7 linked regions of the Canis lupus familiaris genome follow. The protein of the gene in region 4 interacts with the protein of the main gene of each other region in a pairwise test. Links are inferred from orthologs where the notes say so. Each region holds a gene or a part of one and is shown on either strand. Other genes may lie near its edges.

The links.
Region 1: the proteins of MORN4 (region 4) and NUTM1 interact in binary tests that used the Homo sapiens proteins (3 or more experiments, as listed by UniProt). The two-hybrid records come from large-scale screens. The link is inferred for Canis lupus familiaris from reciprocal best matches to the Homo sapiens genes MORN4 and NUTM1.
Region 2: the proteins of MORN4 (region 4) and BEND3 interact in binary tests that used the Homo sapiens proteins (3 or more experiments, as listed by UniProt). The two-hybrid records come from large-scale screens. The link is inferred for Canis lupus familiaris from reciprocal best matches to the Homo sapiens genes MORN4 and BEND3.
Region 3: the proteins of MORN4 (region 4) and HMMR interact in binary tests that used the Homo sapiens proteins (3 or more experiments, as listed by UniProt). The two-hybrid records come from large-scale screens. The link is inferred for Canis lupus familiaris from reciprocal best matches to the Homo sapiens genes MORN4 and HMMR.
Region 5: the proteins of MORN4 (region 4) and SEPTIN6 interact in binary tests that used the Homo sapiens proteins (3 or more experiments, as listed by UniProt). The two-hybrid records come from large-scale screens. The link is inferred for Canis lupus familiaris from reciprocal best matches to the Homo sapiens genes MORN4 and SEPTIN6.
Region 6: the proteins of MORN4 (region 4) and RANBP3 interact in a two-hybrid assay, tested with the Homo sapiens proteins (2 studies listed by BioGRID). The two-hybrid records come from large-scale screens. The link is inferred for Canis lupus familiaris from reciprocal best matches to the Homo sapiens genes MORN4 and RANBP3.
Region 7: the proteins of MORN4 (region 4) and SSX2IP interact in binary tests that used the Homo sapiens proteins (3 or more experiments, as listed by UniProt). The two-hybrid records come from large-scale screens. The link is inferred for Canis lupus familiaris from reciprocal best matches to the Homo sapiens genes MORN4 and SSX2IP.

The regions. Positions count from the first base shown.
Region 1 is NC_049251.1:1,034,495-1,039,188, forward strand, and holds the start of NUTM1 (NUT family member 1), read right to left. Parts: upstream 2,963-4,694; 5' UTR 2,854-2,962; coding exon 2,766-2,853; intron 1,267-2,765; coding exon 1,171-1,266; intron 1-1,170. Other genes in the region: NOP10 (H/ACA ribonucleoprotein complex subunit 3), read left to right, coding at 3,420-3,473, 3,751-3,891. UniProt on the Homo sapiens protein: Plays a role in the regulation of proliferation. Regulates TERT expression by modulating SP1 binding to TERT promoter binding sites.
Region 2 is NC_049233.1:64,643,234-64,647,170, forward strand, and holds part of BEND3 (BEN domain-containing protein 3), read right to left. Parts: intron 1,384-3,937; 5' UTR 1,373-1,383; coding exon 1,336-1,372; intron 834-1,335; coding exon 631-833; intron 1-630. UniProt on the Homo sapiens protein: Transcriptional repressor which associates with the NoRC (nucleolar remodeling complex) complex and plays a key role in repressing rDNA transcription.
Region 3 is NC_049225.1:48,676,284-48,680,738, forward strand, and holds the start of HMMR (hyaluronan mediated motility receptor), read right to left. Parts: upstream 2,932-4,455; 5' UTR 2,774-2,931; coding exon 2,728-2,773; intron 1-2,727. Other genes in the region: NUDCD2 (nudC domain-containing protein 2), read left to right, coding at 3,320-3,613. UniProt on the Homo sapiens protein: Receptor for hyaluronic acid (HA). Involved in cell motility. When hyaluronan binds to HMMR, the phosphorylation of a number of proteins, including PTK2/FAK1 occurs.
Region 4 is NC_049249.1:11,069,166-11,073,557, forward strand, and holds the start of MORN4 (MORN repeat-containing protein 4), read right to left. Parts: upstream 2,915-4,392; 5' UTR 2,748-2,914; intron 2,722-2,747; exon of another isoform or gene 2,703-2,721; intron 1,604-2,702; exon of another isoform or gene 1,511-1,603; intron 1-1,510. UniProt on the Homo sapiens protein: Plays a role in promoting axonal degeneration following neuronal injury by toxic insult or trauma.
Region 5 is NC_049260.1:92,335,059-92,338,995, reverse strand, and holds part of SEPTIN6 (septin-6), read left to right. Parts: intron 1-352; coding exon 353-485; intron 486-1,827; coding exon 1,828-2,018; intron 2,019-3,937. UniProt on the Homo sapiens protein: Filament-forming cytoskeletal GTPase. Required for normal organization of the actin cytoskeleton. Involved in cytokinesis. May play a role in HCV RNA replication.
Region 6 is NC_049241.1:54,561,069-54,565,005, reverse strand, and holds part of RANBP3 (ran-binding protein 3), read right to left. Parts: intron 3,452-3,937; coding exon 3,348-3,451; intron 2,198-3,347; coding exon 2,078-2,197; intron 170-2,077; coding exon 66-169; intron 1-65. UniProt on the Homo sapiens protein: Acts as a cofactor for XPO1/CRM1-mediated nuclear export, perhaps as export complex scaffolding protein. Bound to XPO1/CRM1, stabilizes the XPO1/CRM1-cargo interaction. In the absence of Ran-bound GTP prevents binding of XPO1/CRM1 to the nuclear pore complex.
Region 7 is NC_049227.1:63,688,163-63,692,527, reverse strand, and holds the start of SSX2IP (afadin- and alpha-actinin-binding protein), read right to left. Parts: upstream 2,836-4,365; 5' UTR 2,747-2,835; intron 1-2,746. UniProt on the Homo sapiens protein: Belongs to an adhesion system, which plays a role in the organization of homotypic, interneuronal and heterotypic cell-cell adherens junctions (AJs).

The sequences.
Region 1 (4,694 bases), on a different chromosome or scaffold from region 4:
AACAAGCGCTGTGAGGGCGGTCTAGGAAGGGAGGTTTCCAGAGCTCTAAGCAGCTGCAGGACATGTTACAGTCTGGTGATGCAGGCTGTCTGCAGTCCTTCTGCTCGGACGCCTAAGAGCAGAAATTTAGGGTCCACTGTGAAGGAGGGACAGTGAAGTCCTAACCACAGTGTGTGCTGGGGACCCACGTGGACTCTGGCCTAAGAACCCAAGGGCACATACATAAGATGTGTACGTGATTCCTCAGGACATGAATCTTGAGATTTTTCACCATGTTACAAGTGATTTGCCCAATTTCATACAAGTGTTCTGCCCCTCTACTAAAGAACATTCCCCGGACAAACTAACCACACTGAGCATCCACTCCCTGACCATGAAGGGGACAACTCATCACCCTGATCACAGAGCAGAAGCCTGGGAGTTCTCCACAATGCAAAACAGGACTAAAGGCCTGAAAAGCCAAGAGCATCTCAGGGAAGCCCCAGCTCTCACTGTGGTTGGAGATATCTAGGTCTCCAGGCCTGGGAGGGCAAGGGAAGCTGCCCCACAACTGCAAGAGAGCCATCACCAGGGTGAAAAGGAGCCACGAGACTCTGAGCAGAGGCCCATCTGGTACCTTCCAGTCTCACTTTTGGGAGGACATTGCTCTACAGATGAGGCAACAGATGACCCGGGGAACAGTTTTGCAGCTAACATCTCCACCCACCCCACTCGACAAGATCGAGACTGGCTCCAGCCCAGTGCTCTCAGGGCATCATTCTAGAGCAGGCTCCAGTTGCCCAAAGAAATGGGGATTTGGACCTTCCCCTTGAACCCTCCCTGCAGTACTTGTGCCGCACACGGCCCTGCCCCTGCCACACAAACACACGTTGGAGAGATTCCTCTTCCAAGAAACAAGTTTCTAACTGCCATTCCTTTCCTACACTCTAGCACCTTCCTCTGAGGGGCTTCGATCTGCCTCCAGGGAGGCCCTCTTCATCCCCTAATCTCCATGGTAATGGCACAGTCTCCTTCCCCAGCCTCCCCAAGACAGAGGGCTTTGCAGGGCTCTAGCGCTCTTACATCCCTCGAGGTCAGCCCCAAAAGCTGGTCCCTGGGTAAAGTGTCAAATCTGAATCCCCAAGGACATGAGCAGATCGTCAGGACCTTCCCCACTGCTGGCAGACTTACCTCCATCCGAAGCCATCCTCTCAGGTGTGGACACTAACTGTGGCTGTCCGGAAGCCTCCAGAATGAGACAGTCGGGTCCAGGACCCAGAGGGCAACCTGACCCCAGTAGATACAGGGATCCAAGGAAGGGAAGATAAAGACCAGATCAGAATGGAATTAGAATCTAGGACTCAAGGCATTCTGCAGTGGGGGAGGGGAGGGGGGCACAGGTAGAGAGGTTCCAAAGGGCTCTGGGACGCAGGTGGTAACCAGGAGTGCCCCCCAAGCCAGACTAGAGCAACTTGATTGTTCATTGTGTTTTTTTTGGGCAATTTATAAATTCTTTTTGATTCCCAACAATACAGCTTTACATCTGGATTACCTATACGTTTCTTCACCAATATATACAGTTTTGTGCCTTTCAATCCTACCCAGTTCTGTACCCGACTTCCTATGAATAGGTTGTGGCAGACCCTTAACTAAATTCAACATTGCCTATATTTTCTTTCTTTTTTTTTTTTTGCCTATATTTTCTAAACCAAATTCAGAGCATATCGTCTGTGTATCTAAGGATCAAATAAATGGAATGTTTGAAACTAGGATTATCTCAGAAACCCTGGGCAGGGATCCCTGGGTGGTGCAGTGGTTTGGCGCCTGCCTTTGGCCCAGGGCGTGATCCTGGAGACCCGGGATCGAATCCCACGTTGGGCTTCCGGTGCATGGAGCCTGCATCTCCCTCTGCCTGTGTCTCTGCCTCTCTCTCTCTCTCTCTCTCTCTCTGTGTGACTCTCATAAATAAATAAGAATTAAAAAAAGAAAAAAAAGAAACCCTGGGCATCTGGCTGTGGCACATGTCCTTACAAAGCTGTCCTGCAGTCCCTGACAGTCCACGACCATCAGCCCTGCAGTCCACAGAAGGTTCAGCTTACCCTTGGCTGAAAAGCACCACTCTATCCAAAACTGCCATTCAGCCTGAAATTCCAAAACCAAAAAGTCTTTTTTTGTTAAATTATTTTGTTGTTTAAAAGTTCTGTTAAATGATTTTAGTTTTTGAAATGGGAAATAAATCAGCATGGTTCTAAAGTCAAACTATGCAAAATGGAATATACAGCAAGTGTCCTTCCCACTTCTTTCCTCTGGAACTGATTTCTCTCTATCTCTCTCTCTCCTTCTCTCTCTCCCTCCCTCTTTCTTTTTGGAACCAAGTTCTTTATTCCAGAGAAAACCAATAATATGTTTCCTGTGAATCCTTACAGAGATATTTTATGCAACTACAAATAAATACAGACTATATTCTAAAAAAAGAAAAAGAAAAGAAAAGAAAAGAAAAGAAGGAAGGAAGGAAGGAAGGAAGAAAGAAAGAAAAGAAAAACCCTTTCAGGCTTTTCTCGGTTATAAAATTAATCGAGAAAATCAAAATTAACAAAATTAAAATTAACAAATGTTCCAATGCTTTTACCATTGTAAATAACACTGCAACAACAATCTTTGTAATGATAACTGGGCTCCCATTGTCCTAAAGAAATCAGAGTCCTATAAAGAGAATTTCTACGTTCTTTTAAAAATTCGAAATAACCCTAGGAGGTGCATCGTATTATGCTATTATTGTTACTCACCACTATAAGAAAGAGCGCTGGATTTGTGGCAAAGAGACCTGAGTTTAAATCTCGGTTCGACCACTGAAATATACTTCACCAGTTTCATAAAATAACTTCACGCCCTCTTCGCTGTGCCTAATATTGAATACCCATCATGCACTCTTTACCGCCAATACTTTAAAATAGGACGGGGGAACCGGATGGAAAAGAGGGGAGGGAAGAAAACTTTCTTCTTTCTACCCTAAGATAAAGGGGCTCGGAATCCCGGAGCCTTTGTTTCTACAGGCCCCAGAAACCCACTGCCTGTGAAATGGGTGCGCATCGCGAGTAGAGGCAGGACTCTGTGCATCGATGTTCAAGCCATATTCATTCCTACCCCCCTCTAGCTCCTAGCAGCGTCTTGCACACAGTGGGCACACTCCACGTGTCTCAGAGCGCCCGCAAAATTGCAACTGGAAGCCGACGCCTGCAAGGTTGCAACTGGGTTGCAACTGGGCCAAATCCCGCACTCCTTCGCCCCCTCCTGGTCAGCGGGAGAAAGGCCGGAATGGACTACACTTCCCGGCATGCCTCGAGAGAGACTACCGGCCTTACCGGAAGGACTTTGACGAACACGTGACACCCTCTCCGCGGGAGCCGGACGGCGTTGGGAGTCGCGTGTGCCGCGTGGTCATGTTTCTCCAGTATTACCTCAACGAGCAGGGAGACCGGGTCTATACGCTTAAGGTGAGACGAGAAAGCAGGTGGTAAATAGTCCTGTGGACCAGCAGGCTGGAGGAGCGGCGAGACGCCCCCGGTTGCCGGGGGTGAGGGGCCTGGGAAGCCCGAAACCTCGAGCGCTGGAAGGAGGGTGCGGCTGTCGGTGTGGGCGCCCGGCCCCTGCCTCTGGTTCACCCGTCTCTGCGCAGCTTCCTCCCGTCCCCTACCTCCGCCTCCCTGTCGACGCTCTCGGGCGGGTTTTCCCGCCATTCCTGTACTGAAATTTTCTTTTTTCTTCGGGCAGAAGCTTGACCCTATGGGACAGCAGACCTGTTCAGCGCATCCCGCTCGCTTCTCCCCAGATGACAAGTACTCCCGTCACCGAATCACCGTCAAGAAACGCTTCAAGGTGCTGATGACCCAGCAGCCGCGCCCCGTGCTCTGAGGCCCCTTAGCTCTCGTGTCCCTCCTGCTACTCCTCAGGGACTTTCCGAAACCAGCCTCTTCAAACTGTGAGCCGTGAAGGCTCCTCGGCACCCTTGCGCTTGGGAATCCGGTGTCCTCGTTGCCTTCGAGCCCGCTCCTGTGAAGCAATCATGGTAGCATCCCTCTTAAGGGAACTAATCAGAATCGTTTCACATCTTGGATCAGATCGAGGTTATTAAAATGATTTGAACGAGTTTTTGTTTTGTATGTTGTGGGGGGAAAGGTAGGGGCTTAAAAACAAAAACAAACAAACAAAAAAAAGAAGATGAGAGGGAAGAGGACCCAAGGGGTACAAGAAGACCACTTGGGAGAAAAACTCGAGTCGCTGCTGTAGCAGTAGTGCTGTGTGCAACAGGGTGTTGGGAATGGGATGGATGGTTGAGACTCCTGCAAGTGTAAGCATTCCCTGAAAAATATCCCTGTGTCACTTAAGTAATTTCTTGCCCCTTGAAATGACATTTGACTCAACTGGAGGAGTTGCTTGAAAAATAATAGCAGCTATACTGTAGAGGGAATGCAGTGAAGTCAGGAGACCAGCATTTTCCCCTTTGCATAATTTTAAGAAAGTCGTTTACCCAGTTTTTTTTTTTTTTTTTTTTTTTTTTTTTTTTTTTTTTTTTTTATTTATGATAGTCACATAGAGAGAGAGAGAGGCAGAGACACAGGCAGAGGGAGAAGCAGGCTCCATGCACCGGGAGCCCGACGTGGGATTCGATCCCGGGTCTCCAGGATCGCGCCCTGGGCCAAAGGCAGGCGCCAAAC
Region 2 (3,937 bases), on a different chromosome or scaffold from region 4:
AACAGGTATGTTACAAAAGAATTCTGCTGGGCAGCCCGGGTGGCTCAGCGGTTTAGCACCGCCTTCAGTCCGGGGCGTGATCCTGGAGACCTGGGGCTCCATGCATGCAGCCTGCTTCTTCCTCTGCCTGTGTCTCTGCCTCTCTCTCTCTCTCTCTGTTTCTCATGAATAAATAAATAAAATCTTTAAAGAAAAAAAAAAGAATTCTGTTTACAAAAAGATTCACTGAACAAGTTCTCCTAATATAAAAGATGGGCTTGATTCAGGAAAAGACCTCCCAACCCTCAACTTTTCCAGGAATCTGTGTACAGTGTGTACTGTGTAAAATGCAGTAGGCCTTTCTTAACAGTCCTTCCTAGCAAGTGGAGCAAAGCAAAACAAAGAACTCAAAAGCAGGTTGCACTGTGCAGACTCCCCTAGTCCCATAATGAATCCAGACATATATAAGAATTCTAGCTAGAAAAGACACCTTCTAGAAATTTAAGCCAAGGATGGGACAGCTGAAATGAAAGCTTTCTCGTGCCCAAGGGTTTAGCAGTCGCCTAGATGCCCACAAGTAGAGAGAGAGAGAGAGAGAGCGCATCTGAGGGTCAGAGCCCAAGCAAACGGCGGAAGGGGCTGGGCCCTCACCTCGGGAATCAGCCGCCGCCTCTTCACGCTGGGGACAGAGTCAGGCTGGCCATCGCCACCCGGCTGCTTTCGCTTGCTGGAATCCTGGAGGGCAGTGAAGACGCTGTCCAGAGGGTGCTTCTCGGAAGACCTGGAACTCACTGAGCAGTCCAGGGCAGCATCTTCGGCCTCTGTCTCCACTTTCACAGTGTTATTTTTTAGAACTGTGGCAGAGAAGAAATAGGGCTCAGTGGGAAAGACCACTGGGCCGCTCGGAGATTAGCAGGGTTCCCGGAGCGGGGGGTACTTGCGGGCTGCCCTGTGACACTATCACTCAGAAAATAGAGTCTAGTCACATTACAACTGCACTTTCCAACCTAGCGATGTTTATCTGACCGTGTTAGTGCTAGACAGTAAAACGACCCTGCAAGAACTTTTTGGTCAAAACTGGTTTTAAGGTCTTTTTTGGGGGAAAGACAGGAGATGGAGAGAAAGAAACAAATACTATCTTTTAAATGATACTTTAAAAAAAGTAACTCTGGAAAGATACATAAGACATTTACAGCAGGTAAGTACGGGCAGAGGGGGATGGGAAGCAAGCGTGAGAAGAGGCTTTCTATTGATTTTTCACTCCGTAACTTTTTATATTTTTTAACCATATCGTGTATGACCTAATAAAAAATATTAAATTAAAATTACTTTTTAAAAAGAAGCTTTTTTTTTTACCTTCTTCTACATCTTCACTGAATTCAGTTGAGTTCATCTTCTATTCCACTAAATGAAAAGACAAAGACAAAGTCTTGATTTATTGCTTGATTTATTTCTTAATTTTCCATACCCATAAGAAATTCCCTTCCCCTCCCAACCCTGGCTCTGGGTAATGGAAGGTTAAGCTGATACTGTTCCCTCACATCATGGAAAACTGCATCCTCTCAGTGTTTGCCTGCAGTCGCTCAGAAGCAGCCAGGCCTCCCGAACACCCTCTGGGGGGACTTCTCGAAACTTCACGCAGAACGCGTCTTAAAGCATCAACAGAGTCACTTTCAGACCGAGGGGGGAACGTTATTTGAGAAAATCAAGTCTTACAAAAGACCCAAGTTCGGGTGATCTCCTGTGGGTCCCTGCTTTCTAAATTCCAGCCACAGAATGAAAAGGCTGGCTGAGGATGTAGGCCGAGGCTCCTCTGGACACGAGCGGGTCATGAGACTCCAGGTGTTCCAGAAAGACCCACGCCGCCCCAGATGGCAGCCAACAGTCACATGGCTACTGAGGATTGGAAGTGTGGCCAGCCCAAATGAAGATGTGCTGGAAGTATAAAAGTACACTCTGGATTTCAAAGATGTAGCAGAACAAACAAAAAAAAGTAAGATAATCTTTTTTTATGCTGATTATATGTTGAAACAATGTCAGATTTATTGGGCTAAATAAAACTTTATTATTAAAATTAATTTCACCTTTTCTTGTAATGTAGCTACTGGTGATTTTAAAATTACGTAAGTGGCTTACATTCTATTTTTATTGGATGGTACTGGTCTAGCCCTTCCTTCCAAAGCAACAAGAAGAGTCAGTGTGGGTTTTTAAAACTCTCGAGCTCCACATAATCTGGTCCAAACCCTTCTTCTTACCGATGAGGGAATGAGAGAGGAAAGGGGCAGGGGCGCCACAAGAGAGCGAGGGGCACTGTAGGGGCTCCAGGGTCCAGTGCAGAGGCAGCCCTGACTCTCACTCCCACTGCCCCAGACAGAATGGAACGGACACCATGATCACAAGTGGCATTAAGTCTCTGAGATTCCCCATATTACATAACAGCATCCATAAATAGTATAAGGAGTAAATGAGGTAGTGACGTTGGAAAACACGGACAGCCGGCACTATTGCCATTGAGTTGCGGTTCCCACGACTGATTAAGCTGCCTACAGATACTAAGTTCCCATTTTGCTTAAGCATCAGAGGAGAGCAGGACTAAGAAGTATCTTTTAAGAAATTTCTAGAAGGAAGAGGGATGCTATCTACAAAGTCCAGTAAACTATTTACCAAATACCCAAAAGATGGTGTGCGGTCCCTTGTTCTAGATGGATCAATGAGGGGGTGGGGTGCAAGAGACAGTGACCGAGTCTAGGTGATCTATGCACGCAATAACAACTTCAAAATTCACTAACAGCAACACACATATAGTGCTTATGATGCGACGTGCTATCCTCAGAGTGTCACAATGACTTTATAACAGGCATCGCTACAGGACTAATTTTCGGAGGCACAAGAAAATATAAGATTTATTTGAAAGTGCGATTACACTGAAAATAATTCCTGTTTACCAAATTATCTGCTATCTGAAAAACGTAACACACAAGATGATGTTGAGAGAAAACAGTAAGTCAGATTCAAAGGTCTGAGAGCTATTTTACCAACAGTGAATCTTAGCAAATACAATTTCCATTAAATTCAAGGAAAAAAACTTGACATCTTCCCCCAGGGCAGGGGTGGGGTATGAGGGGGGGGGCACTGGCAGGTAGGCAAAGTGTAGTCTGCAGACAGGAAGGTGGCCAATGCCAGGGAGAAGTTCAAGTGTCCGGACCCGCAGCCCAGACAGGAGGCTTCCCAAGGGAATGCACTTAGGGCCTCGCCTGCCTGCCAACCGCCCTTGGAAACCCTGCCACACGGCCCAGAACCCACTCCCTGAAATCAAGAGCAGAGGGGAGACGCAGCAGAGCAGACGGGCAGGACCGAGTGCGGCTTCTCAGACAGGGTTCGGCGTACAAAACAAATTACTCTCTGGGGAGAAGTGGTGGGAAAGGGAGGAGAAGGCGGACGGCTTATGTGGGGGAAAGAAAGGGTCAAGGTGAAAGAAACCACAAAGACTCAGCTAAGCAGACAGCATTAAAAGGACAAGCAAATCCTGGAGGAACACAGGTGTCGATGAAAAAACCACAGCACAAGAACCTCAGTGCTGAGCAAGGCCAGCCTGGCCATCTAGTATTTTATCTACCCCACTGCGCTTTCCCAGCGAGCAGCATGGAGCTGGGGCTGGGCTGGGGCTGCGGGGGTGGCAGGAAGGGTATTCTCCAACCCACACCACGCAACACAGCACTTGCCTTCTGACCGTCCCATGTCAGAAACTGGGGAAGGAAGAGCACACATCTGAGCCACCCGTGGGTGCGCAGAAAGCCAGAAGGGGAGCTGGCAAGGCTCCCAGTGGCCAGCTTCCTGGGCAATCAAGACACCCAGAGGGTAACTGCTTTGGGGCCGGAGTCACCTTAGACCAGTGAGCGATGCTAGGTTAGCCCAGAGGTAACCCAGACCACACAGCACGGGGACCCCTTCCCACCCA
Region 3 (4,455 bases), on a different chromosome or scaffold from region 4:
AACTCTAGGCCTAACATGGGGGTTGACCTCACAATCCTGAGATCAAGAGTCACATGTTCTACCAACCAAGCCAGACAGGCACTTAGTTCTCTGCTTTTAGGAATGCTTCTATGGAAAAGCATGAGAAGCACCAGTTTAGACTTGTCAGAGTGGCCAGAAAATAAAATGATGTTGAATTCTTATGTTCTGGTTCATGACTATGTGTACACTCTGAAAAGGAAATATGGGCAAGCAAAAGATGGGATGGTGGACAGTGACTGAGCAGCATCATGAGTTGAGAACAATTAAAACCATACTTAACAAAAACTTCCCTAAACAATCAAACTTGATTGTTAGATTTAGGATTTAGATTCAAGAACTAGGTAGAAATCCAGCCTGTATTAATCTATTAACTCTTTGTGAGAGTGTAGTTAGTACATGTTATTTTCATGCTCCAGATCTTTTCCTTACGAACACTTAAATGTACTATATCACACATACATATGACTTGTTAGAAATCTGGGGAGACGGAACATCAGAAGAATGGAATGAGATGTCCTGGGAGTTATCGCAAGTTTTCTGCAACTTCTTTCTTGATCAACAATGACTGGTAGCTAACAGGTAGTTAATAATTTTAAACAAACAAAACAGTCTATGCATTTCATTAAACGCTTCAAACTTTTGGATCTTTTTAAAATAGTTTTTTAAGGATTTTATTTATTTGAGAGATAGACTGAGCGAGAGCACAAGCAGAATGGAGGTGCAGAGGGAGAAGCAGACTGCTTACTTAGCAGGTAGCCTAATGCGGGGTTTGATCCCGGGACACCGAGGTCATGACCTGAGCTGAAGGCAGATGCTTAGTTGACTGAGCTACCTATCAGATTTCTTTATTTCCTATTTCTTCTACCCAGAATGGACAGTCCATCTTCCATTTTGCCTGACTAATTCTTACTCAGCCTTTTCCAGTTTTCTCTGAGTCCTCAAATTAGGTTGAAAACCTCTCTTTGTAGTAGCTTGTGAGTAGTGTTCTTATCAGAGAACCTGTCAGTTTTGTAATTATCCATATTCCATGTTAGACAAAACTGCTTGTGGTTAGGTCTCTCTAGATCATGTTCATAACCCCAGTATTTAGCTCAGGGTTGAGTTTGACAGTGCGGTGAAGAAAACATAGAAAGTCACTGGGAATGTGGGAATGGGGATAGAGTTTTATAATTCCTCAATCAGGGTTCAAATCCAGCTTTAAATGCTAACCAATAGACATTACTATGTGCCAAGTACTTTTTAGTCAGAAGATGGTAAGAACATTATACTCTCTCCTTTTCTAATCTAGCTTTAAGACCCCTGGCAATTTATTTTTATTTGAGGCTAATTTTCCTTATGAAACAGAAATTAAAAAAAGTATCCACCTCATAGCTGTTGGGATTACTGGAGTAATAGGAGAAATCACTACAGTGTCACTCGAGCATCAAATAAAGTAATAATTATTACTTCTGAAATTGTGAGTTGGTAAAGTCAGTTTAATCTACTATAAAGAAAACAGAATTCTCCTTAAAAGACATACTGCTGAGAGAATTTAGAGAAGATTCTTTGAATATCCAGGAAACAGTATATTCCCGATCTTTCAATTAAGAAAATAAGCTTGTAAAAAAAAAAAAAAAAAAAAAAAAGGAAGAAGCTTGTGCTGACCCATTTGCTCACTTGGCCTTCCTTTGTGAGCAGAGTGATTCTTATTTCTATTTGCATGTTGGCTGACAAGTTAAAGATGCCAACAAGTGCCTTTTATAAAGAGTATATTAAAATGAATAAATCATGGGCTTTGATGTTCAGCCCTACCAATTACTGGCTGCTCAGAAGTTACAAAACCCCTCTGTTTCCTCATATGTAAAACGAGGACAATATCAATCCTTTCTCACTTGGAAAGAGTTAACCAGGTAGAACAGAAAAGACCTTAGCACAGTCCCTGCATACAGTTTGCATCCACTGAATGATGAGTGTGCCTCACTAACCATATCTGCGTCTTCCTGGTTAGTGTGCTTATGCATCACAGCGACTAAGTTCACAGGATGGGTTCACGAAGGCCTGATTTTATGTCCCAGTTCTGCTAACTTGGTTGTGTAACACTGAGCAAATCTATGTCTCAATCTTTTTATCAATAAAATAATAATAGGATTACCTCTCAGGGATGTTGGGTAATTAAAAAAGAATAATCAATGTAAATACTTAATACGGTGATTGGGGTTCTACGTGTCATTACTTCATTATGTTTTCAGTAAGTATGCTACTACCATAATTTTACCCATAAATTGCCTTTACCAATTATCCTTCTTTTATTCCTGAATGGAATATCCAAAAGAAATTCACAAGTTCATACGAAAAACTTGGTCAATTTTTTTTTTTTTTTAATCAGTGGGGCCTTCCGGACTTGACCATCAAATAGCTACCAATAGTTTCCTTATCCCCACTTCCTTCTCTCTGCCTTAGTTTCCCCACAGCACTCGTTCATTGGCTGTGTTCTCCAGCTGAATGTAGTGAACTCGATGGGGCAGAGACTTCGCTTCATTCACTGCTCTACCCTTATCTGAATGGTGCTAGGGAAGTAAATGCTTAGTATAGATTCTAGGAAAATAATCAATTGAATGAGACCCATCGCAGCCCTAAAATCTCCGATTAGCCTCCGAGGAAGGGACTCGAGAGCGGCAAGGTGCGTGACAACATATCCCGACCCCCAACTCCTTTCCCCGTACGCACCGGAAGGGTCATTGAATCGTTTCAGGGGCGCCTTAGGAAAAGACATGTTGATGACCAGCTCCACAAACCGAAGGTCACTAGCTCTCCTCCGCAACTCCTGGCTGCTTATTTCGGCCTAATCGCTCCAAATTCAAACCTCCCGGCTTACCCACGGCCCACCTCTAACGTCAGCAGATTTGAAAACCAAAGTTTTGGGCGCACCAATCCAGGACGCGAACGACTAAAGAGCATGCGCACCTGGCCTGGTCGCATCCAATCAGGGCTCCTGTGAGTTTAGGTCACCAGCCAATAGGAGACTATTATTGCCCAACCCGTGTCCAATCGTTCCTGGCGTTACTCAATTGTAACTTACACGCTCGCCTCCTTTGCGCAAGCGCATTTCACGTCTGAGAAGTTGGCAGGCCCGCTTCTGGCGTCATAAAGGCGGCAGGGCAGTGAGTTCTAGTTTCGCTAGTTCCAACTTTCTCCCACCGTCCCTTGGGTGTCAGCTTCCCCGGATTTCGGTTCTTTCAACCTGGGCACTGCCAGCGTCGTAAACGGCCACTGGAAAGGAGAAAGGAGCTCGCGGAGACCTCGGCTGACGTCCCTGCGCATGTGCAGTGACCTGAGCGGAGAGTCGGGGCGTGGCCTGAGCGCGGGGAGCTCGCGCGTGCGCTCGTCTCGCTCCGTGCGGCTGCAGCTGGAAGGCTCCCGGAGTATGTCGGCCCCGTTTGAGGAGCGCAGTGGGGTGGTTCCGTGCGGGACGCCGTGGGGCCAGTGGTACCAGACCTTGGAGGAGGTGTTTATTGAAGTTCAGGTGCCGCCTGGCACTCGCGCCCAGGACATCCAGTGCGGCCTGCAGAGCCGGCATGTGGCGCTGGCCGTGGGTGGTCGCGAGATCCTCAAGGTAGCGGCAGGTCGGGGCTTGCGCTCACTTCCCTCCCGGCCTCTAAGCCCCCGAGTCCGCAGGCTCATGGTTTCCACGGAAGGACTGCTGGAAGGCCGAGTGAATGGCTCTTTGAGCCGAAAGAGCGATAGATAGCACTGGCCTGGTTTGGGTCTGGTCCGTGTCCCCACCCAAGGCTAGTCCCGAGTTGACGGAGAGATGTGAGGAGCCCGGTGTCCTGGCTTTCTCTCTAAACCGAAGAAGTTGCTGCTTTTGTTCCCCTGCGGGTCTTCACCTAGATGTTTAAAGGGACCAATACTCGTTGTACATATATTTTCTTCGAGGCGCTGATTTTAAGTGCTGAGAGGTCAGGGATGACCAAGACCGAAGTTCCCTGCGCTCAGGTGATGCTCTTGCAGGGAGGCATACTAAAGCGAAGTTAGTAAATGCTTAAGCAGTTAGGGGACAGTAGAGGACACAGTACAGGGTAAGGATATCGGGAGGAGGATTCAGAGGTGGCGTCAGGTGATTTATTTTTTTTTTTTTCCACAAAACTAGAAACATTCTGCCTGTTTGTGGAGCGGTTAAGCAGGTAGTCGAGAGGCGTTTTGTGCCCATCATGCCCGTCGGATCCTTGGTAAACTTTATAGGTAAATTCAGTGACGTGCAAGTTAGATTTCTTTTCCGGATCCGATGCTCAAGGTGTTAGAGGACAGTGTAATGAAGTGGTGACGGGAGATTGCTTGCGTAGGATACCTGGCTACGCCCTTTTTCTAATTTCGTAACCTTGGGCAAGAGGTTATTCGGGGTCTCTACGCCTTGGTCCACACGGGGTGCGGGAATTCTAGTGCCTTCCTGATAGG
Region 4 (4,392 bases):
TGATTGCTTCAACCAATAGAACATGGTGGAAGAGATGGCATGTTCTGAGGTCAGGCCAGAAAAGGTGATGCATCTTCCCTCTTGCCCACTGGTACACTTGCACTTGGGAGACCTGAGCCACCCTAGAAGAAGTCTATCCTCTGAGGTTGCCATGCTGTGCGGAAGCTGAGCCACAAAGAGCCACGTGTTGGTGCTCCAGTTGGCAGTTCTCATCCTTGAATCAGCCCAGCCTAGGCACCAGCTGTGGCAAAGGAGCCTTCAGATGATTCTAGCTCCTAGCCACTGTGTGGGCATCCCATCTAAAGTATCATGCAGCAGAGTGTAGTCATCTCCATGATGCCCTCTACAAATTCCTGACTCACAAAATTTGCAAACATCATAATGTTGTTTTAAGTTAAGGTTGGGGTAATATGTTATATGCCTATAGTAACTGGAACATCATCTCTACACCTAACCCTGCCACCATCCTCTCTCATTTGTTTTTCAAAAGGATGTTCCCATTCCTTTTTTTATCTAGGGAGACAGAGAAAAGTCCCTTCAACGGCTGCTGGTCAAAATGATGTCCATTCCCAAGAACACAATCGGAAATGCTAACTAAAAGGATACACATGGGGCAGCCCTGGTGGCACAGCGGTTTAGCGCCGCCTGCAGCCCAGGGCGTGATCCTGGAGACCCTGGATTGAGTCCCACCTCAGGCTCTTTGCATGGAGCCTGCTTCTCCCTCTGCCTGTGTCTCTGCCTCTCTCTCTCTCTGCATCTCTATGAATAAATAAATAAATAATCTTTAAAAATGTTTAAAAAAATAAATAAAAGGATACACATGGACTCTGTGGGTCTCAGGCCATTGGTGAACACATTGGACTAGAAACTTCTACCTATGTCCAAATAATTGATACCGTCACAGCCTGGGACAGTGTTGGGATGTTCATTTACGACTTCTATAATTAGCCATGCTATGTAATAGTCAGCTACAAAGCCAATGACCCCAAAAGAAATCATGCTCATTGAGATAAATTAGTTTAATATGGTATAGCCAGTGTTGATGAAGTTTAGGCTTCAGCTATATATATGGAATCAAGTCACAAAACCAAAAGAGAATCATGCTTCTAAGCAGATACCCACCCTTTCTGCTCTTTTGATAGATAGGTTGCAAAGGATCAATCCAAACATTTATCTAAAAGAAAATGACTATTTTGTTCGTGAAATAAGTATACTATTTGTCTGCACAAAGAGAACTGAACATCCCAGTTCTCTTTATTTTCTCCTGACCCAGACATTTCCAAATAGAACTTGGAGACAGTAATGTTAACTTTTGTTTCAATTCCATTTGTCTTTTTTTTTCAGAGTTTAGAAATCAAACTTGTTAAAAAATATTTATGCATTCACAGGATTTTGTGTCCAAATTCAGAGGATTAAAAACAACAACAACAACAACAAAGCTAACATAAAGAGGAACAGATTTTCACTTTAAGAATATTGTTTTGAGGCAGCCAGCTTTTCCCACATATACCTTTACATTGTTCCTCCAAAGCCTCCCCAGAGTATGACCTTCTTGTCAAAGTTCTCTTAATTACAAAGAAAGCAGTCTTAGGCTTTTAGAATCCTAAAGAGAAGAAAAGGAAGACTTTGATGAACAAAAATTAGACTTAGAACCTAAGAAACCTAGAAGAAAAGTCACACATTCTTTTTAAAAAAATATTTTTTTTTTTAGCTTGGAATAACTGCTTTTCTTATAACACTACAAGCCTTTTTACTGTAAATCTTCCTTGAACTCGAAAAGTTTTTTTTAAAAAAAGTATTGCTACTAGATATAGGTCTTTTTTGTTTATTTTATTTAAATTCAATTAATTAACATCTAATGTATTACTGGTTTCAGAGGCAGAGGTCAGTGATTCATCAGTCTTATATAGATAAGGGTCTTACTTAGGAAGACTGTGGGACAATTAGATTGGAGAAAGTGGGAAGAAAATTCTGACACCAGAAAAAAGATTAAAAATTTACAAAGGAGGAGCGGCTGGGTGGCTCAGTGGTTGAGCGTCTGCCTTCGGCTCAGGTCGTGATCTCGGGGTCCTGGAATCGAGTCCCGCAAGGGGATCCCCGCAGGGAGCCTTCTTCTCCCTCTGCCTATGTCTCTGTGTCTCTGTCTCTCATGAATTAAAAAAAAAAAAAAATTACAAAAGACTTGAGGGTGATGGGGACTGCCATGATATTATCCTATTTCATGAAAAAGGAAATGCCCGGACGGGGTTCTAATAAAGTCGAGTTACTCCTCCGGATACCTAAGCAGTTTGGAGATACGACCCAGCAGGGGTGCCACCACCCACTAATTGAGGCATCAGGTTCATGGTGTGGGAGTGTGAGGGGCGGGCCCAGGCCAAACAAAGCCCGAGACCCAACTAACAGCATTTCCTCCCATCCCGTTCTCGCATCCCAACACTGATCCTGCTCTCCGCCCGAGCTCTGCTCCAGCGCCCGGCCAGGTGTCTGCTCACGCGGGTCTGCCATCCGCGCGGGACGCAGCCCCCAGCCACCCGCTAGCCAGGCCGGGTACGGCGGGCTCTCCCCGGCCTCGGCCCCAGCTGCAGAGACCCGAGGCCCGGGGGCCGCACCCCACCGGCCCCGCCCTCTGGTCAGCGCATCCTGGACGGAGTCACGATCCCCAGTCATCTTGGGACGGGGACCTGGTCCTCAGTCTTCCTCACCGACCGCACTCTCCGGGCGCCCTCCCTCCTGCGCTGCCGGCCAACCTGAGCTCCGCCTTTCGGGATGACGGTCACGCCCCGACGCGGGGCTCCAGCGGCCGCGACCACAGCTCCGCCGGGCTCGCCGCGGCCACCAGCCTCTCCGCCACCTCCACCAGCGCCTGCCCCACTTGACGCCGCCATCCCTGGCGGCCGCACCGGGCGCAATTCCCGCTGCCCATTGGCTGTTACCCCGGCAACCGGGAGCAACGCCACTCCCTATTGGCCCAGCGCGGACCCTGCGCCATCTTTGTGCGGGGCGGAGTGCGTCCAGAGTTCCGCCCACACCCGAAGAGGGGTGGGGCTGGACCCCCGCTCCCACCTGGGCCACCTGACGGAGACTTGGGGTCTCGCCACCCAGACGCAGCCTAGCCGAAATGTCAGCAAAAAACAAACCAAACCCGGGTCCGAAGGAACAGTAACCACCCACTTAAGGGGCTCGGATCCTGCGCGGACCTTCAGAGTTGGCTCCTCCCTGGAGTTTAAGGACAGAACCCAAATCTGGCTTTTGAGGTTCAGCTTTGTCAATTGCAACATGCCGGACCAGGCAACTGGGGTTTAATGAGCGTCAGGACTGTGAGATCAGGACGCTTCTGCATCCACTTATTGTAAGGATTTGAGTTGTTGTCGTTACTCAGATCCTTTGTACTTAAAGTGTCAAGATTGGAGCAAATTCTCCAAATACAGCGCACGCCAATCCTTTTACCCATATGTTTATTTACTGACCAATGTGAATGCAGCTACAAAAGACGTGATCGCTGCCCCTGTGGAACTTACTTGCCTAGATGTGGAGAAGATTCATGCACTTAGAAAAATTCGAGATTATATTTAATTATTAAAAGAAGGCAAGTGCTCTCTGAATTGGGCACTTCCTCATTTGTGAAATAGAAAATGAAAATAATAGTGATAAAGACTCCTTAGGACTTGTATGAGAATACAGTGTAAAATGCTCAGAACTGTGTCTGTGGCGTTGTAATTGCTTGAAAAACAATCGTTTTAGATTGTTTTAAAAGACTTGGATTCTAGGTCATCCTACATCTCTCATGGGTCATATTTGTCAAAGTTCTCTGAGGCTTTTGGATCTGGAGTTTTGTCTTCTTTGGTGCTGCAGAACAACCATATTGTTTTTACTGCTCAAGATTACATTTTAATTTTATATTGGAAGATTCTCCTTTTCGTGTAAAATTTTCCAAGACCAGATTATATATGTAAAATAACCAATGGTATTTACCTTTTTAAATCATAAGCTAAATTAAATGACAACTATTTTCACCATAAAAAAAAAAGAATTGGATTCTGTGTTTTCAAACCTCATATCTGCTTGAAGTCTGTGTGTGACTTCAAGCAAGTTATTAAGCTCTCCAGCCTATAAAATGAGATTAGACTAGCAGACATATATGACACAAGCAGCTCTAACACTCAAAGATTAAACATGCTAAAACTGTGTGGTAGTGACTATAGATATAAATACAGTGAGTGGTTGAGAGAATGGCATATCAGGAAAACAGATCTAATTAGATTGGAGAATGTATATTAGAAACCTTGATGAAATAAGGTTAAATAGATTGTGGTTAAATTATGGATAAACCTGAAAGATTAGGGGGAAGATATGGTTTACAAAATGTAGTGTTTTGAATGGGTAAATTCATAG
Region 5 (3,937 bases), on a different chromosome or scaffold from region 4:
TGAGCAAATCACCTTGCCTCTCTGGTCCTCTTTCCTCATCTGTATCACCAGGGCAGAGAAACAGGTGTTCTGAGTCACTTCCAGTTGTAAATATGTCAGTTCACCAGGGCTGCCCCGCCCCCACTTAAGCAGCCTTGTGACCCTGCTGTCACATGCCAGGCCAGCTGCCTACAGCTTTGTGGTTCTGTTTTTGCACCTGTCTCAGAATTGGGGAAAAGGAGGATGGTGGTGGTGGTGGGGAACCCAAGGAGGACCACTGGAGCCAGTTTTCATTGAATAAGAGCCATTCTAAAGGCAGGGGAAAATAAATAAATAAATAAAGGCAGGGGAATTAACCTGACCATATTTGCAGCTTACAGGAGACATATGAGGCCAAAAGGAATGAGTTCCTAGGGGAGCTCCAGAAAAAAGAAGAGGAGATGAGACAGATGTTCGTCCAGAGAGTCAAAGAGAAAGAAGCTGAACTTAAAGAGGCAGAGAAAGAGGTAAATATGACCCTGACTGTCCAACAGGCAGGAAGACGGGGCTGAGCTTGGGCAGAGCCCCGCAGCTTCCAGGCAGGAATGGGGCAAGGCATCTGCAGCCCTGCCTTGGCTGGTACCAAGGGAAGGCCGCAGCAAGATCTGTGTCTTCTTCATCCCTCATTCCCCAAGGCCAGGCGGTTACTTTATTCTCTAGAGCCACCCTCTCCCAAATGGTAGCCATGCTACTTATATTTAAATGAATTTAAATTAAATAAAATGTAAAACTCAGTCCCCCAGTCCCATTAGCCACATGCTAAGTTGTCCTGCAACTACTGTGTGTCCTATTGGACAGCACAGATATAGAACATTTTCATCACCGTAGAAAGTTCTGTTGGGCAATACTGCTCAAGAGTCAAGACCAGAGTCCGTGGCATGGATATCGGATTTTTTTTTTTCAGTTTCCCTTTCCAAAAGAAAATGCCACCCAGTACGTTTGGAGGAGAGGTGAGAGGATCTCAAAGATAAATGAATGAAAAGCCAATAGACAGAAACTAGGTTAGAGCAACTGACCACCACCGTACCCCAAGGGACTAGTAAAAAGCTGGTCTAGACAGCAGGCCTGTCATCCACCACCCCTTACTAAGTCCCAAATACCTGTAAGACCTGGAGACCTGACCTCCTACATGGTACGCTTTGAGTGCTACGGAATCCTAAATTCTCTCCAGAATCCTCAAAAGAAATACTCAGTATTTGTACTGTTCTCCTTTGGGTGTCTGGTTCTATTCAGGGCTAGCTGAGTCTCCCCTTGGTCAAAGCTGAGGTCTCTGCCCTCATTCCATTTTATAAAACTCTTTTATCTCCTTCCATGTCTGAGGACAAGTATTTCCTTTGACCAGCTTTGGCATTGCTGAGGTTTTCTCTGCAACCCATGGTGATCCTCCTTGACCAGAGGGGGTAAGGAAAGGCAGGGGCCCCACTCACATTGGGCGATCTCGCTATATAATCCTCTAAAGAATGGATTAACCTTGGGCAAATTCCTTAACTTCTCTGACCTCCTGTTTCCTCATAAAACACAGAGAATCACAGAATATTTCTTGATGCTAATTATTAATTACTATTCATTAATAATAGTTCTGTGACTACATTCAAGAGCAGAAATGTGGAGGTGAAGTGACAGGAGAAGGGACTTCCCCAGAACATGGTGCCTTGGTGCCATCGGGGCAGTCCCTGGCAGAAATGTCTCCTCAGGTCCCCCAGTCCTGCAGGATGGCAGCCCTGCCGGTCCCCACTTAACCCTGGGCTTGGCTCCTCAAGGAGCTGTTCCCAGGGGACACTGCTCAGACTCCCTGTGCTCCCCTGCCAGCTGCATGAGAAGTTTGACCGCCTGAAGAAACTACACCAGGACGAGAAGAAGAAGCTGGAGGATAAGAAGAAATCCCTGGACGATGAAGTGAACGCCTTCAAACAGAGAAAGACAGCAGCTGAGCTGCTCCAGTCCCAGGGCTCGCAGGCTGGAGGCTCACAGACTCTGAAAAGGGACAAAGAAAAGAAAAAGTAAGTGGTAGGCTGCTCTGGGCCTGTGACTCCTTCCTACTCCTGCTCATCCCCTCAGTGCAGGGCCTGGAGACTCCGGTGGAGGCCTCATGCTGAGGGGTAGTGGCCAGAGGTGACCTGTAGACTGACAAATGCATTTCGGTCCCTGTAACTGGTCTTTGTGTCCCCTGAGTTGGGGGAGGTGAGAATAGGGGAGGGTTGTAGTCCCCAGGGGCACAGCCCCTCTGCTTTGCTTTTGGGAAAGCCCTGTAAGCTCTAGGTAGGAGGAGAGGGAGGGATAGAAGACAGGCAAATGGAATGTGGAATGTGGGAGGGGAGCAAGCAAGGAGGAAACCATGAAATCTGTAGTGTTGTAAGAAAGAGGTGAATGAAAAGAGGGACCCTCCCCCCCAGAGGGTAGAGGAGAGAGGGCACCTCAAGCGGAAGCCTCTGGGCACCCTCTTCCTCCCCAAGAGGTTGGTGCTGATCTGGCTCACAGGCCGCCTTGTTTGTCCTGTGTTTGAGGGGTTCACCTCCCCATGCCTGAAGCCCCCCAGCCCCATTTTCTCACTTAGCTGCAGCCCAGTCCAGGTCTCCCACCCTATGCCATCCCTCTCTCTTGGCTGCTTCATTGCTCCTGGCCTGAGGTGCTGAGAGCTTACTGGGGAGCCCCCAGATGGTAGTAGACTCCACGTGCCCCATCCTTAAGCTGGGCAGTGATGGCACAGTCTGTCCCTCTATCTCCCCTGGTGTGTGGTAAGGCAGGAGAGCAGGGGCTCCTGCTTACATGTGGGTCCATAACCCTGAGCTGACTGCAGGCTTTGCTGGCTGGAGCTCCCCATCCATCGTCCCGGAACCAGAGGAGAGGAAAGGATTTCTGGTGGGACCTGGGCAGCGCCAGGAAACTATGCCGGGGTCCCTTATGCTGGAGTTGCTTGTGCTGCGAGACTTGGGGGGCCCTCACATGGAGTGTTGGGCCATGTCCTTACCCAAAGGGCCTGAGGATCCAAAAAGTGCCCGTGGTCGATACCTTTTGTTCTCAGCAACCTGTCCCTGGCTCAGCTGCTGGATATCTGCCAGAAGGAGGGAAACATCCTCCTTTCCTCTGGGCCTGGCTGATCACTTAGGAATGAGACAGTGACTTCTGTACAACAGTACGACAGTTAATATTTGAAGGCACTCGATTTTGCGATCCATTTATTCAAAAGTGTAATTTGAACACGTTCACCCACTAGTCCACAGATTTTTGTTACCGAGTCACCACACTCTGTGTCAGATTCACTCACTCATGACCTTGATTTGGTGTTACCTGATGGATAAAGTTTAACTAGTCAGAAAAAAAAGCCTCTTTGGACATACTGTATATTAACTGATTGGGCCTTGTGTGTTAGTTGCACCTGCAGGAAAGGGTTCCTATTTTTAAGATCAGAAAAACCTAAATTTGTCTCCTCGTTCTAACCTGTTGCCTTCTTGGCCTGTGGTATTTATTAACTCAATCCCTGGGGCAGCCTCACAGCCTGCTTGCAGGAATTAGGAGATTCCTTTGTTTGAACCCCACTGACACTAAACTATAAATATTCCCTACTTAGATGTTCAGTGGAAGTTCCTCCCAGACCAGGCTCTCTCTTAGTTGTCTCACATGAACTGATCTCCCCTCTCCCACTCCAGGCAGAAGACCCTACATAGGGAGACATGTCTCTCCAGTCTCCAGGAATATTTGGGATTGGTGACAGCACCTTTCCCAACTCTGAGATGGGTGAAGGCCTTGCTGGCATGTGGCACCTCATATTAGTGACCAGGTTCTGACAAAATAGACTGTCCTCTTCCTTCCTTCCAGATATATAAATGGCCCCAGGCCTGGGCTGCTTCTGTAATTCCATGAAAAGTTGGCTAACTTCTGGAAAACCTTTCTTTACATCTGTGCCACTCAGGGCCCATGG
Region 6 (3,937 bases), on a different chromosome or scaffold from region 4:
TGGGCCCCAGGCTAGGGGATGACCTGGGCCACTCTGAGGCTGGCCACCCGGCCCAAGACACACACCTGGAGCTGATATACTGAAGGAAATAGTTGGTCGCAGTTGGCGTTTCTGAACTGGGATGTCCGGCATTCTCCATGTCAGCTACTTCAGTGTTCTCATTTGTTAACTGGGAAACAGAGAGGCGACACTTACTGCCCAGACAACGCCTGTTCGGGACCTCAACAGCTCAGCCTGTCTGCATACCCCAGGGCCTATGGCACAGCTCGTGTGTGTGTGTGCATGTGCACGTGCGTACACCGGGGGGGGGGCACGCGCTGTAATCAACTTTGCCATTTCTGCTTTTAATGGTTAAGATAGAAAAAGAGTTTGTAAGGCATCAGGGAACTTTTTCTACCTTGTTTAAAAAAATAAATCCCTCAATTGACATCTTGTTCCCCTTTTCACCAATGCTTGTAATGAGAGGCCACAGAATGCTTCCAAATCTGGCATTTTAAGGGGTTTATTATAAATATAATAAAAACATCGTTTCTTGAGGGCTTTTTTTTAATGCTTGCTAACTGCTGTGCCAGCTCTGTTGAATCTATCATCGAATGTGATACTCCCAGGAACCCTGAGAGGTATTATCAACCTCGACCTACTGAGTGAGAAAGCAGGGGTTCAGGGTGCCAAGAAATCGCCCCCATTGAGAAGCTGGCATGTAACTGTGATACTACAGATCACGTGAGCCCTGAGCCTCCGTAAGACAGGGCCTCAGCCCCAATTTCAAGGCAGCCATCCCCCTGGACTCTAGGAACAGACTTGACCTGGCGGTTTAGGCCAGGCCCCTGCCCCCTAGCATAGGTGGATCTCAAGGCCCTTCCTTCTCCGGCTTCCTCCTCCCTGGAGTGAGCAGCCTCCAAGGGACTCATTACTTTGGCTAAAGTCACGCAACAGCAATGCTTACTTTTCATCCCTAGGGATTTGTGTTTCTGTTGGACAGCGAACACCAAAGGAGAAGGCAGATGGCACAACCTGATGTTTTCTACGTGCTGGAGAGACTTTTTTATTCCTTTATTTCAGGATTTCTCCTTCTCAGCATCACTGACATTGGGGCTGGATCTTTCTCTGTGGGGAAGCCGCCCTGGACACCGTGGGGTATTGGGCAGCATCCCCTGCTCCCACCCACTGGATGGCAGTGGTACCTACACCCTAGCCGTGACAACCACAAACGTCCCCAGACACAGCCACTCATGTTGTCTCTCAGGCTTCTAAAGGAACTCCTGCCAGATGAGCTGCTGGAAACGGCACAGAGGGACACTCTATCCTGGTGGCTGGAAAGGTAGTGTTGCCTAATTCTGGCTTCTCAGAGTGACAGCACACAGGGTCCCGAGCCCAGAGCCCCTGCCAGATGCTCTCTACCCCTGACTCAAAGTCCCCAGACTAGACCAATAGGCCTTGGGGGCAGCCAGGAGGGGACAGATGCTATTGCTTAGTATGGGACAGAATAGTTATTTTTCTATCTGCCCTACCTTAAAAAAAATAAGGTAATGATTCTCAATTAGGGGTGACTTGGTCCCAAAGGGAATGCTCAGCCTCATGAGGGGACACTTTGGGTTGCCGCGTCAGGGGGTGGGGGCATACTCCTGGCACCCGGAGGGGGAGGGCCAGGGATGCTGCCTGGTACCCTAGGATACCCAGCCCTCCAACAGCTGACAATGAACCTTGTCTAAACGTTGCTTTGTGCCAAGACAGAGCAGCTCCCAAGTTAGGCAATGACAAGCTCTCCAGTGACGTCGAAAGCATCGGATGGTGCTGTCCCCTTTGCTACGAAAATGTTGGTTTCCAAGGAGAGGCACGCTCGGTTTCGTCCCATCCCCGGCGACTGGGAGAACAAGGGAGGCCTCCAGGGAGCACGCCGGGAGCTGAGCAGTGCAGCAGGGAGGCCATGCCAGCAGTCAGGGACAAGCCTGCGGCTATGCCACCTCCACCTCCCGCCCCCTGAAGGGAGAAGCGGAGGTCCTGTGGTTGAACTGGAGGAGGCAGAAGAGACCGACCCCGGAGTGCGAGCACCCATCCGGGCCTCTGATCCACACACCTTGACTCGGTCCCTCAGGTTCTGCCCGAACACAAACGCCTGCTGCGCAACTTGCTCTCTTTTCTCACAGTTCTCCTCCTCACAAGTATCGCTAGACTCATTTTTCTGGGGCTCTTTCTCCTAGTTTGAAACAAAAACAAGACAACAACTGAAAAGAAGTGACAGGTTAGCCCCAAGAAGCAAGGTGGGCCATCTCTCGCAGTTCCGTCTGCTCAAGGGGTCTCCTCTGGCTCAGGTCCCCGGGGGGCTGCTGCCGCCCGGGTGTGGCCTGTCCTTGACTCCCCGGGGACGCCGGAGGTGGGCGGGCCAGGCAGCTTCCCAGACTCCCTCCAGCTCACAGCCCTGCTGCGCTAGCCGCCCTAGCTATCCAAGTCTCCAAGCAGCAGCAGGTTGCAAAGATGGCTCCTAATTTTAATTCTGCTAATTGTGGTCTGAAGGAGCGGGGGTTGCTCAGGGATGTTTTAAAAATGAATTGTAGACGATCGATTTCACCATTTGCTCTCCAGCAACTATGGGGGGTGTGTGGGGGAGGTGGAGGGGCCAGAACTCAGGCAGCAGCTCAGCTGCCAAAACAGCCCAGTCGAAATAAACACACACATGCAATCTGGCTTTGTGAATGGAAGCCTTGGTGTGGTGCTGCAACTTGCATTTCAGATTCACCTCTGCCACCCGCAAATGCAGGCTCTTTGGTACATGCTCCTCATTTTTCAGTTGCCGGGCAATACCACTAGAAAACACATGCTCTTGGCCTATAGAAACCCAGAACCCCAGACTTTGCTGTGTCTGCCTATCAATCAATCAATCAATCAATCAATCAATCAATGTTCTGAGCTGATTTCTTCAGCTAGAATGGGCCCACCTATGCGAACCCCCGTGTTGTTCAGGTGTGGAAACAGGGAGGGGAGACAGCTTTCCATGTAAAAGGGCACACTATCTCATCAATGAAAGCCATTCCTGTGGCTCCAAGGACCCCCGCCCCCCCAGAGGCCAGGCCCAGAGGCCAGCTGGCCACTTGTACAGGGAGGTGCTGGGTCTGGCCTCTGGAACCCAGACAGAACTCTGGAACTGCGGACAGACCATCCTTGGCATTCTAGCAACTATGGACATCAGCTGCAGTTGCACATGCACACCACTGAGCAAATACAGAAAGCCTTAACACAGGCCTACCCAGGCACTGCTCTGAGCAGGTAACTTGTCTACACACTCAGTAAAGCTCCGAGAAGTTTCAGGTGCTCCCTGCCCAGCACAGAAACACCTCAAGTGCTCGCACCTCGTCAGAGGGACTTCTCCGTGCAGGGTTGTCAGGTGATGTTGCTGTCATGGCCCCCGTGCAGTCTGCTGGGATACTGACTCCGTTGGTGCCGCTGCTTGGGACTGCAGGGACAAGAAGATGGGGTGTGTGTGTGTGAAACCTCAAGTGCTCCCTTCCACCATTTAGACCAACAGTGTAATTTCTCCTCTTTAAAGAAAACGATCTAATGTCCCTACTGAAAATTACATTCTTACATTGAAAAACCCAACCTCAGAACTAAAACCTCACAGAGGTGAGAATATCTTATTGCTTACTCCACAAAGAACTGTATGAATTTTAGTGTACTCAGAAATGATACTGTGAAGATAAAAGAGAAAAGTAATATATATTGAAGGAATGATTATGAGTTTTATAAAACGTTTTACTCATAACATCTTTATTCTATGCACTTTTCCCTATAAATAGCTGAGATCACATGATGTGTGCAGCTTTAAATTTGGCTGATTGGTTAGCCTCGCTTATAAAAAGCTTTCCTGTTGAAACTCTTCAGAAATATTAACTATTTCCCCCATGTGGGATGTTGGATTGCTTCTGATGAATTTTTGAAT
Region 7 (4,365 bases), on a different chromosome or scaffold from region 4:
TGAAGCTGACCGGACAAGAAGTCCCATAATAAAAGAAACTTGGTTGCTACTCAGGCTCCAAGGCACTCTGTCTTTCTTCTGCAAGACTATTCCTTTCTTTGCCACCATTAGCATACATTCCTTAATCAAGGAAGCCCCAGGAAGCCACGAACCTGCAACACTGGGTGCACTTCTTTCCACACCAGGAGCATTGCCACAGGGTTAGCAGCTGGACATAATCTGAGTCTTGAGGGATTTTAAATCACTGTCAAAGGTGAACTTGCTATCAATGGGCTGAGACGCAGAACTAAGTTTCTGTCTCCAAGGATTCTATGGAGGACCATGCAGAAGAGGAACAAACACTCCATCATTCTGGCTCAACTGAATCCCAGCTACTTGAGCCATCCTGACCCTTGGGGTTGGATAAAGAGATTTCTGTAAGGATTCTGGATCTAAGCTACCATGTCAGAGTTCTTTACACACCTGGCCTTCCATCATGCATTTGTCTGTATTTTACTGTAAGGCAGGGGCTATCCCTGTGCATATAAATACTCCCTGCCTCCTTCAGGGAGAAGGGTCCTCAGTCAAATAAGTGAACCACCTTTTATTGAGCACTATGTTCCAGGCACTGTGCCAGGCTCAGGGAACCCTTGGGTCCTCAAGAAGACATTAGATGGAGGGCAGTATAGGTGGCAGGGGTGGTGGAAATCAGTATAATATGTTGCAGGTGACATGTCAGAAGTAACAATTGGATTCAGTGGGGGCACAAAGTAGGAGCTGCTATTTCCTCTGTGGGAAGAAAAGCTTCCCCCCACCAGCAGTTGTTTGGGAATGAAAGTCATAATGTGTAGATCTTCCATACACTCTTCCATCTGCTTGCTAGGCTTCAGTCCTGGTGGTCACAGATGTCTGCCTACCCAGTCTAGTGAGGACCAGCATCTGAGGCATGAATCGGGCTCTTCAAGCTCCAGGGCTTAGGACAATAGTTCCAGTATCCTAATTTTCCATGGTGGGAGCTATACTTGTCCATAGCTGTATTTGTCCATACATAAGAGAGTATAGTCATCCAGAAAAAGCCCACTCTTCTGGCACAATTGCCCAGGAAATCCCAGATAGATGTTTTCTTCAATAAAAGCTATGTTTATTTAAGAAACACTCCAAGTTAGGGGCTACAATAAATCAATAGAAGAAAAAGAAGCAGCAGCCCATCCACAGCCAGAGACCTGAACATCACCCAGGACATCCAGCTAGATTTGTCCCGTGGGCCACAGACTTGTGATTTTCCATGAAATGGCTAAGGAAAAACACTTGTACTGCACATTTCTGGGCCTACCTTACATCATCATGATAATTTGGGTTTTACCTGCACCCAAATGCATGATTTGGGGTAATCTAGTTCATTAAAAAAAAAAAAAAAAGATTTATTTATTTATTTTAGAGAAAGAGAGAGAACAGTGGGGAGGACAGAGGCAGAGGAAGAGAGAGTCTCAAGCAGACTCCACGCTGAGTATGGAACCCAACAGAGGGCTTGATCCCACAACCCTAAGATCACAACCTGAGCCGAAATGAAAAGTGGGACCCTTAACAACTACATCACCCAGGTGCCCGAGGTAATATAGTTCTTAATGACTGCATTCATTTACGTGCCCTATCCAGGAGTTATTGTATATAGTTACATTAGCATATATATTAACACGGAAAAACAGTGTCTACGTCATAGACAACAATTCACAGATAAGGACCAAAGGCAACTTCTAGAATCTGCTAGTAAGATCAAGCTAGAGTTCATGAAGCATGCTCTCCTTTTTGCTACTTGTTATTTTATCTAATTCTTTCCTCTAGCTTGATGCCTCTGCTCTATGCAGGCTTTGGGAAGCACACATCTGCTTATCAACAATCTCTGAAAGTGCCTTGAACTTTAGGAAAAACTCCATGCCCTTTTGAGGAGTCTCAAAAAATCAATCTCCACTAGTAGTTCTGAGGTGCCTTATCACGTCCAATGCACTCTCTACCTGGACCTTCATGGGAAACGTGAAACCTTGGAGAGGCAATGCCGGAATGTTTAATGCCCACTGACCCTCATTACTCCAGCCTTCCCCAGGCGGCAGCAGCATTAAGGAGGCAGCTCTTTGTCCACGTGGCCCCCTTACCTCTCCCCACTAGGTGCCATCCCTGGGGCCCTAGCATCAGGAAAACAGGTGGCTGCACCTCAGCGGCAACCAGGGAGAGCCAAGAGCAAAACCCATTTTTGCTTTTACTTAGTGAAAATCATGATCTGAGCTGTGTACTGCAGTGAAAAAATAATTTGTGAGTTTAAAAGCAGTGAACTATCCATTGCCACAGGTTACTTTTAAGACATGCTTTTTTGTCCCTGAGGAAGTTGCACTCCCAGTCATGAATCCCCAGGGAGGGCATGGAGGAGGAGGAGGAGGAGGAGGAGGAGGAGGAGGAGGAGGAGGAGGAGGAAGAAGAGGAAGAGAAGCATACCAGGGAAGGGAGCTCCCCTGGCAGTCACTTCAGGCTATAACTTTCGGAGCAAAGAAAATGGCTGAGCCGGTTCCGATCCCCTGCAGCCTGGCACGGTGATTGCTTTACACTCCAGGGCTGCAGGGCTCACTAGAGCACAGCTCAGCACCTCAGTGGCTCAGGCCTTCTCAGGCACTCTGCAGGAGGCTTGTCCCAGATATACAACTGCTCCTGCATCTGGTTTTAGGTTGCACCACAGTATGGAATCACAATCTATTCAGAAGAGATGTGTTCTACTCACCTGCCTTCATCACGTACATAGGTCTTGGTCCCCTCCACACGGCAGACCCTGCTCTAGGCACTGAGACTTCAGGAGTGAACCCAATACAGGTGCCATCATCATGGGGCTGGCGTTCTAATGGAAACAGACAATAAACAAGTAAACATACGAATATATGATATGGCATGTGGGAGTGATCTGTGCCATGGAAAGCCTAAAGCAAGGAGGGAGGATACGAGCTGCTCTGAGTGCGGTGGCCAGGGAAGGTCTGCTGATGAGCTGCCCTCTGAACAGAGTCCCTAATAGAGAGCATTTCAGGGGGAACAGCAGGAGCTCAGTAGAAGGAAGACTCTGGCAAAGAGCACTAAAAACTGATTTTATGAATCGCTTACTATGTCTGTAAGCAAGCACTTTGCATACCTAGCGTGCTGCCTGTATGCATCGGCGCATCTAACTGTCACGACAGTCCTTTGCCACAGGTACAATTATTCTCCCATTTTATAGATGATGAAACAGAGGCTGAAGGATGAGCTATTTTGCCTCAGCTCAAATACTTAGGACATGGCAGAGCTGAGGCTTGAGCTTGGGTCTAGTCTCAGTCCAAACGCGTCCCTAACCTCTTAAGATATAATGCCCCATGCTGCTGCGTTGGGGAGCACTCTCAGACCCTCGGGGCTTAGTGTGGAGGAAAGAACACTTTTGAGGCTATGTGTTGCCTGGAAGATGCTTTGCTCATCATGTAAACTGCTTTCTTGTATGATTATTTTCTCTCTTACTTGGAAATACAGGTCCAACCAAAGTTGTTTTTTGAGTGGCCTCCTGAGTCTTTGCTACTTCTCTTTACAAGATAGATGTGGTTGCCACTAGGACGACGGTGGATACCACTCAGGTTACCCTTACTTCAGGGCTTGGTGGGGGTGCCAAAAAGCTGCACAGTTCTTTCAACAACCTGGCATGTGAGACTCACATTTGTAAGGCTGCTTCATGAGCTCCGTTATGGTAGCCCTGGGATCCGAAGTGATTATAAATGGATAGCCATCTCGGTGAGTAGTTCATCCAGCAGAACGACATGAACACAGTTCAGTTTGGTGGAAAGAACAGCAATTTGGAATCAGTAGCTTTGCATTTTGCAGAGTCAGACCCCCCCCACCCCCCCCGCAAATCTGCATGATCCTGAGCAGATAAGTTAGTAGTCCTCTTGGAGCCTCAGAGTCCTCACCTACAAAATGGGAATAATCATGCCAACTTCTTTCCATCCTTTTCAGCTGTGACAAGAGTATATGCACAAGAGAATATACTTTTTATAAAGAGCTCCTTCATCCCTCCCCAGAAGAGAAGAGGAAACACAGGAAGAGCCTGGGTACAGAGGTCAATTCCTGTCTCCTAGATGTGAGAAGTCTGGATGCTATAAAATTGCCCTGGAGTTTATCCATGCTCCAATGGTAGTTCTTTGTGTTGGCTCTTCTGTCTTGGGGAGGCAGATCAAGGTCATTGAAGGATATCCCACCAGGCAGAAGTAGCACTGATAGCACCCTGAGTCAAGATGCATGGGAAACCATCTCAATATACACATTTTAAAATTAAGAAGCTCAAAATGACCCCCAAATACAAATATATCTATGGGTAGCTATAGATCTGAT